5 linked regions of the Oryzias latipes genome follow. The protein of the gene in region 4 interacts with the protein of the main gene of each other region in a biochemical or structural test. Links are inferred from orthologs where the notes say so. Each region holds a gene or a part of one and is shown on either strand. Other genes may lie near its edges. The genes, in order: ticrr, rhno1, rad9a, topbp1 and e2f1.

What was found.
Region 1: the proteins of topbp1 (region 4) and ticrr form a complex in vitro, tested with the Homo sapiens proteins (2 studies listed by BioGRID). The link is inferred for Oryzias latipes from reciprocal best matches to the Homo sapiens genes TOPBP1 and TICRR.
Region 2: the proteins of topbp1 (region 4) and rhno1 form a complex in vitro, tested with the Homo sapiens proteins (2 studies listed by BioGRID). The link is inferred for Oryzias latipes from reciprocal best matches to the Homo sapiens genes TOPBP1 and RHNO1.
Region 3: the proteins of topbp1 (region 4) and rad9a form a complex in vitro, tested with the Homo sapiens proteins (4 studies listed by BioGRID). The link is inferred for Oryzias latipes from reciprocal best matches to the Homo sapiens genes TOPBP1 and RAD9A.
Region 5: the proteins of topbp1 (region 4) and e2f1 form a complex in vitro, tested with the Homo sapiens proteins (4 studies listed by BioGRID and IntAct). The link is inferred for Oryzias latipes from reciprocal best matches to the Homo sapiens genes TOPBP1 and E2F1.

Annotation. Positions count from the first base shown.
Region 1 is NC_019864.2:8,294,991-8,298,740, reverse strand, and holds part of ticrr (treslin), read right to left. Parts: coding exon 3,684-3,750; intron 2,960-3,683; coding exon 2,734-2,959; intron 2,070-2,733; coding exon 1,934-2,069; intron 1,412-1,933; coding exon 1,284-1,411; intron 1,086-1,283; coding exon 882-1,085; intron 770-881; coding exon 624-769; intron 1-623.
Region 2 is NC_019881.2:18,846,625-18,849,882, forward strand, and holds rhno1 (RAD9, HUS1, RAD1-interacting nuclear orphan protein 1), read right to left. Parts: upstream 2,068-3,258; 5' UTR 1,904-2,067; intron 1,772-1,903; 5' UTR 1,749-1,771; coding exon 1,590-1,748; intron 1,479-1,589; coding exon 837-1,478; 3' UTR 716-836; downstream 1-715. Other genes in the region: foxm1 (forkhead box protein M1), read left to right, coding at 2,952-3,258. UniProt on the Homo sapiens protein: Involved in microhomology-mediated end-joining (MMEJ) DNA repair by promoting recruitment of polymerase theta (POLQ) to DNA damage sites during mitosis.
Region 3 is NC_019868.2:13,973,469-13,977,825, reverse strand, and holds the start of rad9a (cell cycle checkpoint control protein RAD9A), read left to right. Parts: upstream 1-1,503; 5' UTR 1,504-2,829; coding exon 2,830-2,863; intron 2,864-2,941; exon of another isoform or gene 2,942-2,970; coding exon 2,971-3,041; exon of another isoform or gene 3,042-3,160; intron 3,161-3,166; coding exon 3,167-3,240; intron 3,241-3,324; coding exon 3,325-3,373; intron 3,374-4,357. Other genes in the region: uncharacterized protein LOC105354882, read right to left, coding at 50-907. UniProt on the Homo sapiens protein: Component of the 9-1-1 cell-cycle checkpoint response complex that plays a major role in DNA repair. The 9-1-1 complex is recruited to DNA lesion upon damage by the RAD17-replication factor C (RFC) clamp loader complex.
Region 4 is NC_019878.2:21,472,523-21,476,806, forward strand, and holds the start of topbp1 (DNA topoisomerase 2-binding protein 1), read right to left. Parts: upstream 3,040-4,284; 5' UTR 2,974-3,039; intron 2,968-2,973; exon of another isoform or gene 2,623-2,967; intron 2,125-2,622; 5' UTR 2,118-2,124; coding exon 2,031-2,117; intron 1,927-2,030; coding exon 1,792-1,926; intron 1,716-1,791; coding exon 1,572-1,715; intron 1,170-1,571; coding exon 988-1,169; intron 466-987; coding exon 272-465; intron 1-271. UniProt on the Homo sapiens protein: Scaffold protein that acts as a key protein-protein adapter in DNA replication and DNA repair. Composed of multiple BRCT domains, which specifically recognize and bind phosphorylated proteins, bringing proteins together into functional combinations.
Region 5 is NC_019865.2:2,000,205-2,004,583, forward strand, and holds the start of e2f1 (transcription factor E2F1), read right to left. Parts: upstream 2,833-4,379; 5' UTR 1,924-2,832; intron 1,834-1,923; 5' UTR 1,628-1,833; coding exon 1,376-1,627; intron 1,288-1,375; coding exon 1,188-1,287; intron 69-1,187; coding exon 1-68. Other genes in the region: znf341 (zinc finger protein 341), read left to right, coding at 3,344-3,374, 3,832-3,942. UniProt on the Homo sapiens protein: Transcription activator that binds DNA cooperatively with DP proteins through the E2 recognition site, 5'-TTTC[CG]CGC-3' found in the promoter region of a number of genes whose products are involved in cell cycle regulation or in DNA replication.

The sequences.
Region 1 (3,750 bases), on a different chromosome or scaffold from region 4:
GGCCTATACCCTGCTAAATCTTTTTTGTTTTTTTACTTAAGTGTATTATAATGTTCATTCCTCAAGAAAAGAAACCCTAAAGCGGCATCTCCGAGTATTCCTTTAAAAACCTGTACTGTGAGCACCAGACCCTCAAAACTCACGAAAACCAGTTGGTTCTCAGACGTTGCAATGTGAAGAACAGCCCCTTCCAGGAAGAGTCTGAACTACCCGCCCTCAGGCCAACACAAACATCCACTTTCTCCACGGAGCTAGCGGTGATCGGCAAAAACGCTTTCCTTTTATATGCACAATCTGCACATCCATCTTTGCAATTGTTTGGATGTTGTTTGTTTTTGGGGGCGAGAGGGAGACACGCTGCCGAGGGCAACGTCATGAAATGGTCGGCACCTACACGGAGCGAAAGGCGGTGTTTCAGAGATCAAGTCGTCTTTCTTCCTGGTTGGAAAAGAACTCCGGAAAATAACTAATATTTCATTTAAAAAAGTGTTCTTTTGTGTGCCAAAGGTAAAATATTCTCATATACATGGATATAGTTTACTATAAAAATCTTAAGAATAGCATGGTATAGGCCCTTCAAGATTACCTAAAAAAGGTTTAGAATGAAATGCGCCAAGTCTCACCTGACCAGTCAACTTTGCCTCAAGAAAAGCTTTCACAGCGGTTACTAGCTGTTGAACAACTTTCAGCAGAGATGAGTCTTTCTCTGCCACAGTCTTGTCATAGCTCGTCTTCAGGTGAGTCAGCAGCTCTGCCTCATCATTGAAACCTAAACAAGTACACGTTTATTTTGTTTTTTTAAGGGATGAGTAAAACATAATGTGATATTTTACAGTAATGGAACAATTATGTGTATTTGAAGTTAAAATAGCAGCACTCACTGACAAAACTCTGCCCTGCAGATTTTCCACGAGCACTTGTCCGTCTCTTCTCTGGTTTGTCTACCGTCCTGCTCTCAGTAGCCATCTGCTCCTCCTCAGACTGGTTCTTCTGGGCTTTTACATTCAGACGAGCCACATTCAGCATCTGCAAAGAACGACTCATCGTCTTCATCTTCTGTTTCACCGGTGTGCAATGGGCGCCACCTGGGGATGAAAAACAAGAATGAAACGAATTCCAAACATTTTTTTTATAATGATGTCAGACAGTAAGTTGGAAGTAAACAAAAATAATTTATAAGAACCTAAAAGTCTATAAAAAATGGCTTAGAAGTTCATCAACATGTAGGTATAACGTTTTTTTTTAAAAATACTCAGAATTGTTACATGGAGTTGTTCACTTACGTTTCCTCCCTCTCTTATTAACATGGTCCTGAGATGCTTGATACAGTTCAGAAAGACCACCAATCAGCTCTTGTTGAAGCAAACACGCCTCTTCTTCTTCACTCTGCTCTGGCACTGCACTCAGCAACCTATAATGATGGGAATCAAATTTAATTTGAGTTTCCTTTACAGAACGAAAGAATTTCAAAGAATCAAGATAATGAAAATTTCTATAAACTGATAAAAGTAGCAGTAAAAATTGATGTTATTAATATTGTGGACATGTGTATTTTTAACCTGTATGAAGAGCTATCAACTGGTATTTAGCTTACATGTAAATAAAAAGAAAAGAGGAAGACAAGAAACAAGCCATTCAACAGTGTTGTGAAAAGTAAAATGTAAAGTAAATTGTATGAAATTGCCATTAATGAGTTATTGCCCCTGTTACAAAAATATCCATGTAAAGAGATTTAAAAAACATGTTATACCACAAGTTGTGATGCCAGTTTTAGATATGCTTGCATTCAGCAAACAGAGTTCACATTTTTATTATAAATGGTGTCTGTCTTTGGGATGCATTGAAAGAGAAAAGCAGCTCTTCATCAGACTCTGCAATCAAAAGCTAGTTCACAGTAAACGGACAACAGAAAACTAAAATCCAGCTTTTGTACCTGAAAGACTCCATTAAATGAGAGCTCACTCCAGACAAGTCTGACAGAGGGAACCAGGTCTCCAACAAGCTTGTTGTCAGTGGGTGGCTTATTTCTTGCTGAGCCCACTCAGGGACCGGAGGATCTTGTATTTTATCTGAGAAGTAATTAAATGTACACAAATGACAATTTATCACTAATATTCAAAAATTGTTTGCTAAAATTGACTGCAAATGAGCATATAATGCATTTCTAATAAAGGACTTGGTAGACATCTGGATTCTGACCAAAAAAACAAAAACGGGAGCATTTCAGGCTGAAAATAACCCAACTCAATTCTGTAGCAGATCTTACTGTTTTTCAGTAAACAGGTGACATGTATGGCTGATATTCATGAAGTACAAAATCTTACCAATGAATAATACAATGACTTAAGCCAAGAGAATTGACAAATGATTTTGAAAACTTTAAGAAAGATTTCTTGTGTGGACAACTAACTAAAATTAGTGTTTGTTAACACAATAAATAGTGTTGTCATAACTTTATTGAGGTAAAGTTGAGAGAAAAATAAAATCATGTCCACCAAACTAAATTTGCCCATTTTACAGCTAGAGCCAAACCTCGTTAACACTCAACACCACTGTAACCTGAATACAACCACAGGGCAAGCTGTGTTGAAGTCATTTGGCTTCAATACAGCTTGAAAACATGTTTGCCAAAATAAATAAATTCAAAAGAATAAATGTGCATGTAGTAGAATATTATGTAGTGATATCAATTAATTATGACTTGTATGTGCAGCTGCATGTCAGTGTTCCTACCATTGACAGCATCTTCATCGTTGTTCATGATGTCATAAACTACTCCCAGAACACTGCTCACTACGTCTGGCAGATCAGTGGTGGTTTGAGGTGCCTCAGCATTTGTCTTCAGGAGCTGATTCTGCTGAGGGATTTCCGGCTGAAGAACAGTGAGTAGTGCTGTCGAGTGTGACAGAGGAGAAAGGACAGCCGAACACACCAGTCCACCGACATTCACCTCTGCAAGCTGAAAAAAGAAAGAAAGAAAGAAACCTAGATTAAGGTAATAAGTGATAGTCGATTTTATTCTAATAATTCTAATGTAAGTTTTTACAATTGGCATCTGTTTTGTTCATTCATTTTCTAATCTGTTTATTCCCTTTCGGGTCACAGGGCTGCCGGAGCCTATCCTGGCCACTTGTGGGCAAAGGCAGGGGGACACCCTGGACAGGTTGCAGCCTGTCACAGGTCCACAATCTCACACCCATGCACACTCACATTCACACCTGTGAACAATTTAGAGTGACCAATTAACCTATGAAGCATGTTTTTGGACGGTGGAAGGAAGCCGGAGTCCCCGGAGAAAACGCACGCATGCACAGGCACAACATGCCAACTCCACACAGAAAAGAAATGTCCCCCGTTGGTTCAGGTTCCCCAGCCAGGGGCCTTCTTGCTGTGAGGCAAGAGCACTAACCACTGCAACACCACCTTCATAATTATTGTTGAAAAAAGAAAATAACTTTATCTGGTCCTTAAAGACCCACGCTACTGAAAATCCTGATTTTGAAATTAGGCATCAGTAGTCTGTGATTGGTTTCAGGAGATAAGTGGGAGCATCATTGAGGAAAAATATATTTTTAGGCCAAATACAGCTTTTAGAGTTATAATTGTATATGTCGGTTGCAAGACAACCCCAAAAATATTGGTTTATTAATGACAATTATAACACAAATCACAATAACTCTCACCATGTTAGAATCAAGAGAAGACAGTTCCCTTAGAAGTTGTAGGAAGGCAGCAGCTTCCTGGTCGCCC
Region 2 (3,258 bases), on a different chromosome or scaffold from region 4:
ATGCGTTCGCTTGAAAACAAGCCAAACACACAGAAAACAAACGCTGGGATTTATAACTTTCCCTGACCGGTCCTTCTTCCAAACAACCGTTAAGTCGCAACTCACTAAAAAAATCAAACTAAAAACATTCTCAGTTAATTGTCATCAATTCTATAATTATCAGGAGTTGAATATCAAAGCTACCGTACAACCGTTAGAAGCTAACGTTAGCTGCTTCAGCCCGTTTTCCGATGTTTGCGATGCCGCGTTTTATCAAAGTTAAAGGCGACACTTAAGTTTTCCCAACACAATTCCACGGACACGAGCGGGATTTTCACGCCACAATAGACAAAACTGAAGACCAAAGAAGTCCGTGAATAAGTAAGGATGTATTTTCAAGGCTTTACTCTTACCTTATGCTGTAATAACTCATGTTTATGCACGGTTACTAAGGAAAAGGCTCCTCGAAGAAAAACGCTTTTTGCGGACGCAGGAGCTGCGGATGAATACTCTGCCTTGGCAACCAAGCGGACCAATAACGAGCACTCCTATTGGCCGGCTGTTTTCCTAGAAGGAATCTAATTGGTTTACATCTGGGGAAAAGGTGGGAACAATAAAAGGTTTTCTCTAAAACGAAATGGGCTTCAAATGACCATCCAGTATGACTTAAATTTCTAATATGTGTTCAAAACTTAGAAAAATAAATAATTATTAATCAGATGTCAAATTCATTTATTTTTCATTTGATTCTTGTCAGGCAACATCAGGAAAAAATAATATTATTTGGGTGTGCAAGAGAAATGAAAAAGGATTTTTTACAAAAATTAAAAGATTTATGATAGAATAAACTTAAGTGACTAATCGAGGAGGCCCCTTTCCTTTAATATGATCATCAATCCCTTTCTCCTCCTCCACGTCACCTTCACCCCATAGTCCCTCTCTGGTGTGTCGGAGACCAAAACATTAGGATGAAGATGACACTGCGGGGAGGAGGGATCAGCCAGCAGTGAACAAACAGGGGGAGACATGGGGCAACTGTTCTGCTTCATTGTTGGAGTGTCCACTTCAGGAGGCGGGTCAACATTGCCAAGTCTAGGGCTACTACACCCACCGGGTGGAGTTCTGCTTTCCTCCGTTACCTCTATTAACTGATTTTCAGGTTGGTGCAAATATTCACTGTGAGATGGAGCTCTGTTTAAAGATTTTTGAGGATTTCTTCGTCTCTTAGGTGCAGGTAAAACTGTCCTATTGCTTTGACATGATCCCTGTGGTTGATCTTCAGGCATTGACGTCACCTCTGCCGCTTTCTTTGTGCGCTGTCCACTTGGATTATGGGACTTGTCTCTCTCCGCCCTAAGAAATAATAACGATGGGTATTTGCACACTTTGTGTTTCCTGGACAGCTCGTTGCACGTGTCAAGAATCCTTGTGACGGACTGACAATTTCTTCTTCCTCGTCTAAATGGAGGTGTAGCTGAGATGTCAAACTGGGGTTGAACCTGAAAGGTTGGGAAATTTATAGTTAAGTAGACTTTTTTGCCAGTTATCTAATCAACTAAATCTATATTTGTAATGTTTTATATATTTTTATATATTTAAAAGACTTTTACCCAGGAACTGAGAGCTGAAGAGCTGTGTGTCTTGGAGAAAAACTCTCTGGGATTGAGAGCAGCTCTGACTTCAGGCACATTTTGAAGTCTGGCGCCACTCACAGGTCGCTCCAGGAATTGCAGTGCAGGCTTGTCTGTCTTTGCCGCTTTCCGGGGCATCAATTTAAATCAATCTTAAGCATCTGTTCAAAACAAACAAGAGACAAATCCGATCGAGTAATCTTGTTAACAATACACATAGCTTTAGTCGTAGATCGAGGCTGTTTACATATTCGCATTCAAGTGTTTACTTTTGAAACGCGTTCTTTACTTACCATATTGTGCTTTTTCCGTGATTATGTGTCCATGTACGGAATACGGAATAAAAACGTTCCCTTATTTTTCGGTTCATTCAGACCTTTTTATCTTAGCTTGTCCGTGTTGTTGTTACTTTTAATTTCCCGGATTTTTTCTTTGTCTTCTTCGGGTTAGCGGCTGGCCATCTCGAGCTGCGGCCCACAGCGCCACCTATTGAGCCGCCCAGTGTTTTTTTCTGCGTTTACTATTGGTCCATTGTTACCATGTGATCAAAGTGACAGTCGGGGCAGCGCCCACAGCGCCAAAATTCAAAACTGTTTATGGATTGACTTTTTGTATCTAATTACTACTAAATACGTCGGTTTTGTGAATATTTTAAATGTTTTCTTTGATCCGACAAGTGGAATTGAAAGCCGAACCAAGCCTGGAATTGAATGAAACGCTGCAGTAATTCAGTAATGTGAAGGTCTGGCTTCATTTTTCCACTTGTTTCCTCCATCGTCAAACAGCTTTAGCATAGCTAGCTTAGCCTAGCTGTAAATAAAGGAAACTATACGCTAATCGGGACATTGGCTAGGCGCATGTTATTTTTTGAATTTATTTTTTGTTTTATTGATTGCATTGTGTTAACATGTAAATATATGTTGCACTGAATATCCACTAGATAGACGTTATTGAAATTAAACCTATCATCAACTGAAAATTATAACGACTGGCATGTCGCCAAGGGAACCGAATAAAATCTTCACTTTCGAGCGAGGGACTGTTGGGACTTTTGCAGCAAACAGACAGCAATAATCGGGTTTCTTTAAGTTTGAAGACGATATCATAGGATTGAAACATCATTTTTGACCGATTACTTCGTATTCTATTAGCAGGTATGTTGTTTTCAGGCTCACTAGTTCGGGGTTATCGTTAAAGTCAGTATTTAAACGTTGTAACGTAATGTATTGATAAGGTGTTTAACTTCTGAGTACTTTTTGAGCCATAACTGTAGCTCAAGACCTTTTCCCCCTCCCCACAGATTTCCATTGAACACCTAAGGCCCTTTGGATGATTTGAACCATGAGACGGAGCCCAAGGAGACCCCTGATCCTCAAAAGGCGCAAGTTACCTTTTCAACAAAAGGAACCCACCCCAGCAGACCCATCCAGGCAGTCCGGTGGCTCCAAAGAGCCGTCAAATTCCAGCGACAGTTCGTGCTTCCCAGACGGGGTCCGCTTTATAGGCCACCCATCCCTGTCAGACACTCAGGTTGTGGTCATTCCCAAAGCTACAGACGTTCAGAGTGTAATTAGTGTCCTCGCCGCTAAAGGCAAAGACAGCGGAGTTCAGGGTCCGAGCAAGTTTATTCTCCTGAGTGACAATGGCA
Region 3 (4,357 bases), on a different chromosome or scaffold from region 4:
TTGAAATTTTGACTTTAGGAAATAAGAAAAGTGAACATATCCTACTCACCTGAGTTTCTTGCTCGGCTATCTTATCTGTCGTGCTTCCCTCTTCTCTTGGCTTTTTGCCATTGTTCCCTTGTTTGTCCTTTAGTCTCTCCTTAATTTTCTGTGTCCATCTCTTTTTGGTATTATTCTCAGATTCTGATCTCTGTTTTCTCCTGCTGCCTGCTGGTTTTTGGTTACTTGCAAAGTGCAAGCCTCTACTTTGGTCCAAACCTGCACCATTCCCCGTGTTCAACTCCTTGTTGTCTTTGTCAGCATCAGTACCCTTCTTGGACCACACATGCGATTTGGGTGTGAAACCCTGAACTGTGGTCTGATTGGATCTCAAATTAAAAGCAGTCTCCTTATTAGCAAGGAAGGGTTGAGTCATTGTAAAGTTTCCAAAAGTGCTTGTGTCCCCATTAGTGGACTTAAAGGAAGTGAGATCAATGTCCTTTGGTGATGTTGCAGGAAACAGATGCCACGTTGCTGCTGGTGTGACCCCAGGATGAGTGGCGTGTTCCAGCACCCAGCTCTTGCTCTTGTTGCTAACAGCACTGAAATTAAAAGAAGGGAAGGAAACTGGACTGCTCACCTCACAGCCAGGACCTGGTTGCTTCCCTTTTCCACCACTAAAGCCAAAGTCAGTGGGGGACCCATACTCTTTTAAGGCACTTCCGTTGAAACCAAACACTTCCACAGTGCTGGTGTTGACCCCCTGTGGAGGGAACAATCCTTTTTCATGATGTTGCACCGGTGTGGGAGCATCCACGGCAAATGTTTGCTGGGATCCATGGCCTTCTGATCCTGGCTGGAGCTTCAGTTTCTGAAGCATTGACTGCAGCATGGCCTGCGTGTCTGTCTGTTGCTGTGACTGAGACATCTCTAAAGGTCACATTTAGATGTAGTCACAGTGTGTACAAACGAATAATCCTCTTTTTATCTAAACTAGCAAAGGTATCACACCATTTTCTGTTGTACTGAGGCTGAAACCCATGTTAGAAAAATTGAAATGTCACAATTATTTGATATAAAAAACATCCTGCAAGGACTAAGTCCCTTTTTTGGGATGTTCTGGTCTGTTTCAATCATGCTTACACTTTCTCTTTGCAAACGGTCAGTTGAACGTCCTGTCACTTCTTTTGTTGATGTCTTCCTGTTATTTTGAATTTCCTCCACTTAGAATCCTCAGGTTTTATGAAGTAGGGGTCCTCCTTTCCTCGTTTTAACAAAAGAAGCCAGCACCTCCCGAAGGCAGTCCTCTTGTATCCATTAGATATCTTTCACTGAATGTCCACAGCGATTAGTTTAGTCCCACCTCTTCTTCTTTTCGCGGCCACTACTGTCAGCGGTGATCAGAGGAGAGGTGGTTCTCGACAGCGTTCCTCAGATCTCACGCACTGAAGCAAACCAACACGTAAAACCAGTGAGGTTAGATAACTTTGCTTTCCCAGTGACTCTCCCTTTGTGACTCTCCCTTTGTGACTCCCTTTGTGACTCTGGCTTTGCAGCCAGTTTAGCTTGCCCTTCCGTCCTATTTCTCTCAGGCTCTCTTACACATGCACTATTTTTCTCCACTTTGGGTTTCAGCTAGTAATTACAGTGAGGTTTTGTAAGATCAGTAGCTACTTCTAAACAGAAGAAGAAACATGACACAAAAAGTCAGCTTTTTGGAAAATGCCATTTTACCTCCACCCTTTACTTTTGTTTTTTCATTTTATCTAAATGCCAACAATGTCAAAAACTTGACATTGTTGGCAGGGAGTCAAACTTACCACTTGAACTACAGCAACTTTTCCCTATATGTGAAATAAACGTGCATAAAAAGCACAAAAACAGAATAAAGTAACAGAATTATCTTTAAAACTTTAAGAAACAGATAATAACACTTCAGTTATTCAGGATATTACCTGTATTTTTATAAAAACACCTACAATTATTCCACATTGGTATTGTTTTCCAGAATACAGCCCAAAATGTGTGGGAATCATGCCAAAGAAAGCAAAGTCTACAACAAAGACTGCAGCTTTACAAGTTCTTTCAAGAAATCTAGTCATAGTAAGAGGACAAAGAAGGTGAAGAACTTGATCACCTGTAACCACCTAAAGCTTGAAGAGGGTCAAAAGAAACATACTGCACTTTTTAATAAGGTAAAAGCCTTTAAAGGACCAAATTCTCTGTTTTAGTTTAAATGACTGAAATGACATTGCTTTGCTCTTAGGTGTAATGTGTTGGGGGAGTGGGCACCTCAACAGAAGTAGACTAAAAAGACGAATTTGATGTAATATGTTAAGTGGAAAGTGATATTGAGTGATAGTGGGTGGCTGTGGTGGACGGAGTGGACACAGTTAAGTTGCTGTCCGTCTATCAGAAAAATATATTATATACTTTGCTTCGGAGTCTGTTAAATAAAAAAATAATAATATTTTTATAAGTTGTAAAGACAGGTTGAATCCTTTAATACTGCGAGTGTCGACGTAAAGAAATTTCATAGTAAAAACACCAAAGCTATTGCGCATGTGCATGGGTGTAGCCGCGCCCTCTTCGAAATTCAGTAACTCTGATTGGTCAACTGTGCGGAAGCAGCTTGTGGCGCCGTAAACAACGTGAGGTTTGGCTCAACTGTCTTGCAGTCTCCTAAAAAAACATTTGGTATTCCACTAACATTTAAGCATAAGTTTAGAAAGTGCGTCTGTGTTGTACGTGCAACATACGAAAGCCCCCTTAATTATTTCGATGGTGTTGCACAGCTGCTAGTTTGGATTCATTTTAGACTAACTCGACGGGGAAAGTTCGTTTGCAGAAATGCAGTGTGTCGTGACGGGAGGAAACGTGAAAGGTAGACCAGGATTTTTCTGTCACTGAAACACAATTGTGCTACTACCATTGATAATAATAACAAAGCTGTCGTTATTACCTGTTTGGGCGCGTGCGTCCACTCAATAGTGTTGGCCAAAGCTATCCATTCTCTGTCGCGCATCGGTGATGAGTTGTACGTGGAGCCCCAGGAAGACGGGGTGAGCTGCTTTGACGCTGTCAGAAACACCAGCACTTCCTCCTACCAACCATCATGTATATATTTTGCTTACTTCCTGTTTGCGTCGACGAATGGTGCTGATTTGAATGCATCTCTCTCTTGTAGCTGGCGCTGCGGTCTGTGAACTCTTCTCGGTCGGCATATGCTTGCTTCCTGTTCGCACCACTCTTCTTCAGCAGGTGCACGCTCCGCTCTCGTTTCAATCAATCACAGATCGTGTCAGTGATGCAAGTCAGCTTCCAACTGCCCGTGTTTTTGTGCAGGTACTCGATTCCCGACGGGAGAAACTTCCGCTGCAAGATAGCAATAAAGGTGGATTCTCAAGCTGTTTACCAATGAAAGTGAATCTGCTTATCTTTTTGTGAAAAATCCCAAAGCTCATCATCAGATGACTCCAAGTACTTTTCTTTGTCCTTTATTAAGTACATTTCCCAATAAAACATACTTTGACCATTATTTGTTAGTAATATTTGTAATCATTTAGTTGTTATTAGCATCAATTACATCTCCATACTCCTTCCTCCAGAACTGTCAGATCCTCAGGTCCTGCTCTCTAATCTGAACCAGGACTCACAGCGAGGCCTCTTTTCAGTACAGTGCTCCTCATCTGTGGAGTAACTTACCTGCAGATCTGACATTTTCTGCATCCGTGGAGATTTTTAAATGTAAATTAAAGATGCATCATTCTAACGTAGCACTGCGTAACTCATATAATTAACTTATTTATTTATTTGGCTTTTCAGTATTTTATGTTATCGTTAGTATGTTTTTACCCTTCTATCTTTTAAGCTTTTAATCTACTGTTTTTTATGACTTTTTAACCTATGTTTACATATGACTTTTATGTCAAGCATGTTGATGAAAGGTGCTCTAAAAATAAAGAGGTGGATTGCAATTAAAGTTTTTAATATAAACGTGATCAGATGAAAGATTTATGACATTGATATGATTTGCTTTAATCTGCCACTTATAGCTTTCACCCGTCCTGTTAAGTTTGGCAGTCCAAGCTTACTTTTATTGGTTAGTCATTAAACATATTTTTGTCCCCTTTTAGAAAAAAAAATCCCTTTATTTCCCTTCTTTGACATCTTGACTGTCATACGATGCATTTGTACGACTATTATTATTATTTTTTCAAACTCCTAAACTCCCCCAATCTATTTCTTTTTCAATTTTAAGAATAGGAATATGTATGATTGCTTACCGACTGTTATCCGATTTAACTGTTTAGAAGTGAAAGTTTTTGAGCTAAAACCCGTTTTCTTGATTTCAAGTTATCTCTTTGCTGCCATGTAG
Region 4 (4,284 bases):
TTGTAGTGAGAGCAAACGTCTTTCATCATGACAGTATATTATGGAAACACAAACTAATATGCTTGTAAAGCAGCAGTGATGGGTGGTAGAGTAAAAAAATGTACATTTTTTATCAAAGCTTTATTAGTAACAGTAAAATATGACACAAAAGAAGAGAAACTCATTACAATATGAAACAGTTCGTAACTGTGTTAGTGAATGTTCATGAAAATGAGGACGTATCGGGTATTCCTATTATAGTCCAGTTTTGTTCTATATTTTAGTGTCTCACCTGCTGGTTCACTGACAATGAGGTGCGTGCACTCGTTCATTTTAAGCTGGCCGCTGTACTTGGCGCCGTGCTGTTCACAGAGGCGCTGCACCTCTTTGCGTTCTGTGCTGGACAGGCCTGTCACACAAACGGTGCATCCGAGCAGCACGGGGCACAGATATTCATCCATAGGCAAGTCTGTGTATCTAAAAAGGCTGAAGAGAGAATAAAAAATATATAACTCTACAGAAACTTAGTTTTATGAATCAGCGGTAATCTATGGAAACTAGGGTGATGAAGTGTAAAGAGTAAAAATAACAATACACTATTAGCACTTATAATAAAGACCACAAAGGAGCAAATATTCATTGATTCATTCATTCATCTTTCATTTTGTCCCTTTCGGAGTCACGGGGCTGCCAGAGCATATCCCGGCCACTTGTGGGGGAAGGACACCCTGGCCAGTCTGTCACAGGGTAGACTGTCCACAATCACACACCCATTCACTCTCACTCTCATGTTTTTGGGCGGTGGGAGGAAGCCGGAGTCCCCAGAGAAAACCCACGTATGCACGGGGGAGAACATGTAAACTTCACACAGAAAGACCCCCTTTTGATGTTCCATTTCAGGTCCCCCAGCCGGGACTTGAACCAGGGGTCTTCTTGCCATGAGGCAAGACCGCTAACCACTGCGCCACCCAGGAGCAAATATGTAAAACAAAAATAATCAGTTCATACCTATTCTGAGATTTTTCCCAGCAGGCTTTGACCCATGAGGGTAGAAGGATGGGTTTACCCAAGTTGGCAGCCACCAGATACTTTTTGCTTCCAACCTCCCCAGCAATTAAATGTGTGACGGACACATTAAGATCAAGGCAGGCACGTCCACCCATGAGCTGCACCAGATCCATCACATCCACCTGCAGAGTGAGACAAAACATAAACATGAACAAACTCAAGGCCCGAAGGCCAAATGTGGCCCGCCATGTCACTTTATGTGGCCCGTGAAAGCATAAAAGTGATTTAGTGTCAATTCATGAGGTCACATTTGGGTTTTCATTTAACCTAAAAAAACAACAACTAATTATAAAGTTTCTATTCTGGTTTCATGTAAAAAAAACTGTTTCTTTTATTCTCTATATCAAAAACTAACAGCAGAGATATTTGTGCCTAAAAATGCAAGAATCTGCATTAAACGAAATGATGCACAGATTTAATTAACTAGTTTTCAAAACATTATCAGTGCAATACATGCAAATAACACAACTGCAATGAAATGGTGCAACAGTCTCAGCATTTTTCAAAGACAGACCAGAACTCACCCGTGCGGCTTTTTCCAGGCTGGTGCAGGAAATAGTGACATCAGCCATGGCCATGTTGTAGACCGGCTTCTCTGCTTTTGGGACGCAGCGTTGCTGCTGCAGGCAGTACAAAACCACCAAGGGGCTCACGATTCTACAGCCATGCTGCACAACACAGAGCAACGAAGCGTTCATTCCTAAAAATCCTGCCAGGAATTTTGCTTTCACTAAGGCGACAAACCTTCTTGCAGTGCAGAAAGGCAGGAGAGGTAAAACTGCTGAACACAAACAGAGACTTGTCCTTCTCTTCCATCTGTAAAACCTCTTCCTCTTTAACCTTCTTTAAATATTTTTCAGACTGCAGCTCCAAAATGGCCTGTTAGAATAGGATGAAAATTATATAATAAATACTAAATAAATATACATCGATGAACATCCAGAAAAAAACGTCTGCAGAAAGGACTGTGCAGTTGTGTTTACCTCATACGCTTTAACAGCATATTCAGCATTAGATCCTTTACTCTCCACAAACTTCACAATAAAGCGCTCCTTTTCCACTTTGGACATGTTGAGTCTACACAAGAGTCAAAATAAAAGTTAGAGAACATCTTCTTTACGTGCCCAACTTTTGATGCCATGTTTATATCAGCATGCAATAAAAATCAAACAAAATGAATTTAAAAAGTACATTTGATGGAGCAGTAATTTAAGGATTTAAAAAAAAATCATTAAAATTATAAACACAGCCGGGGAGCATTTGAGTTTGTTTGGATTGGAAGCTGCTAAAATCTGGGTGCAGCATAACAGCTGAAATAGGTTTAACTGCTGGACATGATGGGACGGCAGAGTCAGCTAACATTCAATGTTAGCACTGAACGCTAGCTAGACTTTTAACTTGAAGTTTTTTTTTTTATTTAGCGAATTTTATTCTGTAAAAAGACGCCGAATTGGGAAGACGTTTAAAATGTGCCAAAAGAATACAACTTGTCATCATAACTAAATGTTACAGACCATGGAACGACTCAAGAAGGAGTACATCATCATGAATATATTTAAACTGGAAAGTACTTACCTATAAATCCGTTTAGACCAGTCCTTTAGGCCGCAATACAGACAGCATGTAATCAATAGTCTGGTGTAATGCGTACAATGCTTTTTTTTTTTTTTTAATTCAAGGAGTCGCTACGTTTATACTTTCATTTAGATCAAAACTACTACTAGCTTACAGAAAACGTCCAATCGGGTTAGCTAACATTCAAATTGTCAAAAACGAAAGAATACTTAAGTAAAGTAAGTTGGTGTTCAACATTCTATTTTGCCAAAATGAATAAATAAATTGACATAAAAATACAAGTTTATTCTAATAATAGTAATTTTAAAAAGTCCTCAGGCTCAGCCAAATGAAATGCAGTTATTTGTTTACATTGTTCGCGCCTTTCGGCGTAACTTCCGGTGTTACTCCGTAATGTGTCCGAGTGGAATCGGAGATCTTTCTTCTTGGCCGGGACGGCACGCATTTAGCATAAAACTTTAAAAATATATATCCGTCAGAGTGTCCATATGTAACTCACTGTCCTAGTAAAATAGTAGTTTGAAACATATACCATTAATCACCCTAAATGTATTTGGTTAAAATTAAATTAAAAAAGCTACATGTCTGCATGTACAACTTCAAAGTCATGCCCGGCATGTGACGTCAATAGTAATTTATCTACAATTTGGTTTTCACTATCCCCCCCCAAATAATTATTTTGGGCCATACATTCCCACACAATCATTTTCCCTATATGACAGAAATTCATCAAAACATTTGTTGTAAAAATCTGTATCAAAGCCAACTGTCATTCAGACTACAAATACGTCTTCTGTAAGAATAAATATACAATAATATTAAAGATTGTTTATTTAATCAGTTACAGAAATACCCAAATTACCCTAAAATTGTAAAGAAGACTTAGACTCAGTAGGTAGTGGAAATATTGATACCTTTTCATAAAAAATATAGATAATCTTAACTGAATGTTAAGCAATTAAAAATATATATTTGACAATAGTATGATTACTAGATTTGATTATTAGACAAACAGAAATAGACATACAAAGAACAACACTGTGGGTTCCCTTTTATTCTTAAAATTTTATGTACAAGTGTGACAGATTTTTTATTTTTAAATGTACATTCATGTAGAAATTTTATATACGCAATATTACATGGAACATTTCACAAATTGCACTAGTCTTTCACAAATATTCTTAATCAGTCACTCAGGTCAGCAGAAGCTCATTCCGGTGGTTATTTTTCCATTTATAAATATTCTAGTGCTTTTTGCTTTCTGGGAGGAGAATTACTTAAAATGAGTCATGGAAGAAGATTAAACTAAAGAAAACAGAATCAATGATGAAGAGTCGAAGGCTGGAAAATAAAGGGGAGCAGATTCGTGTAATGATCCCAAAAACGTATGCAGGTCGAAGGTTTGATCTAGAGTTGTTCATTTGCGCAAACCGAACAGAAAAAGTCATTTTTTTCCCCATTACTGGTGTATTTTTAAAGACAGTTTTGTGAATTACATGTCATGTGAGAGGTGAAAAGGTCCAGACACCATGGAGGCAAATAAATCCCGTCGGAATAATTTCAGTTTAACGCATCAGAGGAAGAAAAACATTCCCTAAATAACAAGCCTTGGTTTGCCTAGAAAAAAATCTAGAGTAAAAAATATATTCATACAAAAGTAAA
Region 5 (4,379 bases), on a different chromosome or scaffold from region 4:
GAGGAAGCGCTTGGTGGTCAGGTTCAGGGAGGTGTCGTACCTCGACTTCTCCGCCGTGCTTCGAGGAACTGGAAAAGCAGTGAAAAACACGCCGCCTTAAACCTCCTCCACAAACAAAACACACATCCAGGTGGAAAACAGGTGATCCTCCGACTCCAGCTGTGAAGACGTTCCAGCGGCACAGGCAGGCCTCGTTTGGACCACGCCATCGAAACTTTTATTTTCTTTAAGGTAATATTTATAACCAGCCTTTAAAGAAACTCCAAGCCCCGCCCTCTCTGACGTGGCCACGGGACCTGGATTTCGGAGCCACGGCGGGTCTTTTGGTGGTTTAAAAATAGAAATCCACCGATGAAGATTCTGCTGAAGGAAACATCTTAGAACTGAACGGTCAAATGTGGATTTCAGTGATAAAAAAACAAAAGGAACTGAGGCTCAGCCTTCAGCAGAAATTCTCCTTCAACTTCTCATCCCAACGGCCCCAAACGTCTGCGGACGGAAACGCTTCACGCAGCATGTGGACGCCATGATGTCATGAGTCAGTCTGAGCGTTACGCAATCCAAAAGATGTAAAATGATTGGTGGTCCTGTTCAAAAACACAGGACCTGGACTGCTCTATCCTGCATTAAATTAGGATTTAGATAGTAAAGAATTCATTAAACACAGTTTCTGACTCATGAAAATGTGAAATAGGAGGATTTTATAGTATTTTACGCACCGGGTCCTCCTAAGACCCGGTCCTTTTGAAAAACCGCTGGACCTGGACTCATTTTTATTTAATCATTTTAAAGTTTTTGTGGCTTTCCTGCTCGCAGCGCTCTGTTGTTTGGGATTCTGTTGCCTCCCCTCTTGTGAATTCGTGTCGTCTGCCTGCAATGCAGCTCACCAAACGACGGCAGACTAAAAATAGATCATTTTAAATTGATCAACTACATAAAATCATCCCATTTCAATGTTCATAAATCAGAAGCTGTGTTTAATGAATTCTTTACTATCTAAATCCTAATTTTAATCCAGGTTTGAGCAGCCCAGGTCCTGTGGTTTCTGAAAAGGACCTGGTCTAAGGTGGTCTTAGGGTGAAAAATGCAGTGGAATGTTCCTTTAGTGCCCCCGCTAACCGGACGCCAGCTTCAGCGCCGTGAAAGGATGCCGAGTCGGCGCTCCTGCTCCTGAGCGTGCGGCGTACCTCTGGGAGGAGCAGGAGTAGAAGGAGGTGCTTGGCTGGCGGAGGATCGGGTGGTGCTGACATACTGGTGGTCGCTATCCAGGTCCAGCTTCCTCTTCACCTAATCATCAAATGAAGAGGAATCGATTATGTGAACCCCGGCGTGTGATGATGTGGCGGCGGCGGCCGCCTTGAAGCCACGCCCTCACCGGAGGTCTTCCCAGAGCCGGCCTCCTCCTGTCCTGGCCCCCCGCGTCGGCGTGGCTCTGCGGCGTGGCGAATAGCAGGATTTCCCCCGTGCTGCTGGGGGCGGCCAGCGGGTGGAGTCCCTCATTGCTGGGGCTGGTGATGATGACGATCTGGTGGTCCTGGCTCAGATCGATGCTCCCGGAGTTCAGCAGAGTCTCAAAGTCCTTCAGCAGATCCTCGGATGTCTGACCCGTTATCAGAGTCTCTGACATGGCACTGCCTGCCGCCCAAAGGGCTCCTGCAGCAGACTGGGGGAATGCCAGGGAGGGTGGGGGCACCAACTGGGGTATCAAAACAGGCTCAGCACCAGGTGACCCCAAACATGTTAGGAGGACTTGAGGAGAAAATGCTGATCCATTAACCTCTCCTCCTCCTCCTCCTCCTCCTGCTGAAGGTTGACCTACAGCGAGCCTGAAATCTGCAGATCAACCACAGAGGAGTCGAAGGTTCAAACGTCAAGGCGAGACGTGGAGCCCAAACAGGAAACGACCCGCTGAGCGCATCCTACTTTAGGCTCACGCGCTGCTCGGCTCGCGCGCCGTTTTCAGCGGAAATAAAAGAAGGTCAAAAGACGAAGTAGAAGAAGAAACCCGCCGTAAATTGAGATCATGAGCGAGCTAGCCTGCTAGTCTTTCGTTTTCCTGTCAGAGGCCTCGCCACTCCGTCCTCAAACACAGAGCTACCAAGCTAACGAACTAGCTTACCACAAGAAAAGACTACAACAACTTTGCTAATAAACACGAACAACAGCAGAGGACTACATTTACCACCACTACCTAAAAGTTTATCTCCTTTTCCCTACGATATGGCTTCATTAACGGGTTCGGAAAACTTTATAGACGCTCACAGAACTGGGCTATCTAAGCAATAAAAAAAATACACATTCACTCGGCGGAGGCATCATGATCGCAGATCCACACCATCTTTGAGAAAATAGTTCCCAAAAGAAAGCAACCATCCGTCCGGGCGACGGCGACGACAGAGAGTTTAGCGCGGAAATACGGGGAACTTTAGCATGCTAGCTTCAGGGATTAGCTGCAGTTCTTCGGTCCCCCTCGTACTGTTGGGGCACGCAGGAAGCACTCGGAGAAACGCGGGAGATGCAGACAAAACGGAGGAAATACTCGCTCAAACGTTAAAAAATGTGCCGATGCTCCTTCGTCTGCTCGCCGAAGATCGGGTCCATCTGTAAACGAGCCGCGCCGACCCCATTAGCAGCCGTCATTGTTGTTGTCCCAGCTGATCTATATCTAAACAAGGCTGGACGGTTTTCGCGCGAAATCCTTTTTGCCGCGAAACTGGCACGTGGGGAAAAGCGACCGCTGGGATTGGCCAGTGGGATTCGTTTTGCGCGTGACGCGATTGGTGTCTTCCGATTGGTGGAAATGGCCGTCTGTCACGTTACAGAGCATGGGGAAAACTGGCCTTCCATGTGACCAGGTTGGTGTTCTCTGATTGGCGGAGATGGCCGTCTGTGACTCTCCAGAGCACAGATTTGCTGATTGGGAGGTGCATTCACGTTCCACGGACAAAAGGCTTCTTAACTGCTTTGTTTAGGAAATTTTAAACAAAATAGTAAAACACGTAGTGTCAGTTTCATGTAAGGTTTCCCAAAACTAAAAGATAAACTCCTTTACCATATTAAATATATGATGTAACAGTCTTTGCGTCCCAGCTTAAAAAAGTTACGTTTTTTCAATGTAGTCCCTAGCGCTCCCTCTCCGTTTAAGCAATCAGATTAACAAAAAATAAAGTTAAATCTGATTGCTTAGGAACTTTCTAAACTAGAGTTTTCTGGGGGTCTGAACCAAATGTGATAAGTTTTTTTCTATTTGCAAATATTAATGTAAGCATTTCATTGGGGGGTCTGCACCTAAAGTAACAGACCCTACCAATCGATCACCGATGGTAAACAGGAGCGCTGTAAGATGGCGCAGACAATATTCGAGGCGCTGGAAGGTACAAATATAGTCTTATTTACCGCGCAATTATTAAATATGTTATATGCCAAAGAAAACCACATCATGTAAATTAACTGGAGACTTGTTTGAACACTAAATCACCCTTTAAACGGGTATTATGTAGGCTGTAAGCACCCTGAACTGAAGGGTTCTGCCTGATCTGATGATGATGATTGTAAACAACCTGATTATATTTTAAAGATTAAGACTGTACTGCTATAAACGGCTTTTTTTGTAAATGTAATATTAATTATTTCTGTAATATAATAACTCATCTCGTATGTCAGTGTAAAAGCTGTACATGTGACAATAAAAGCTATTCATTAATATGTGAACATGCACTCCTCGCGTTATTGTTTCTGTCACTTTCATGGAGAAGCAGATCTTCTTCTAACATGTTGTAAAAAGAAAAGCTGTTACTGATGTTAAATCCCTGTTTCCCTCCATCCCCTCAGGCATGGACAACCAGACCGTTCTAGCAGTCCAGTCCCTGCTGGATGGCCAGGGGGGAGTCAATGACCCCAACAACCAGAATGTGTCTGCAGGATCCACCATCCAGTCTATGGGTAAGGAGCATTCTGCACCGAGCTCCACAGGACTGCTACAGATTAAGACAACTAAGCTCAAAGTTGCATTTCCGAGTATTCGTAAAAGATCGCATTTGTGACGTAGAAAATCCGCCGGGCGGGGCCACAGGCTCCCTGCTCCGCCCCATTCTGATGCATCCACTTGCAGACAAATAGGTTGAGGGGCTTTTATCTAGTGTGTAAACAAAGAGCTCTCAGCAACAAGGGGGTTGCTCTGTGCCAACAGTCACGCCCACAGCTCCTGGCGCTCTGCAGAATCTATGTTCTAGAAAACAAACAGTTTTTTTCCAATGTATTTTTGGCTAAAAACGAAAAGAGATCAGGGGATGATTGGAGTGGAACTTAAACCTTCTTCCTCTCAAAAGCCATGTAGATCAGGCATGTCGAAAGTCCGGCCCGTGGGCCAAATTTCCATC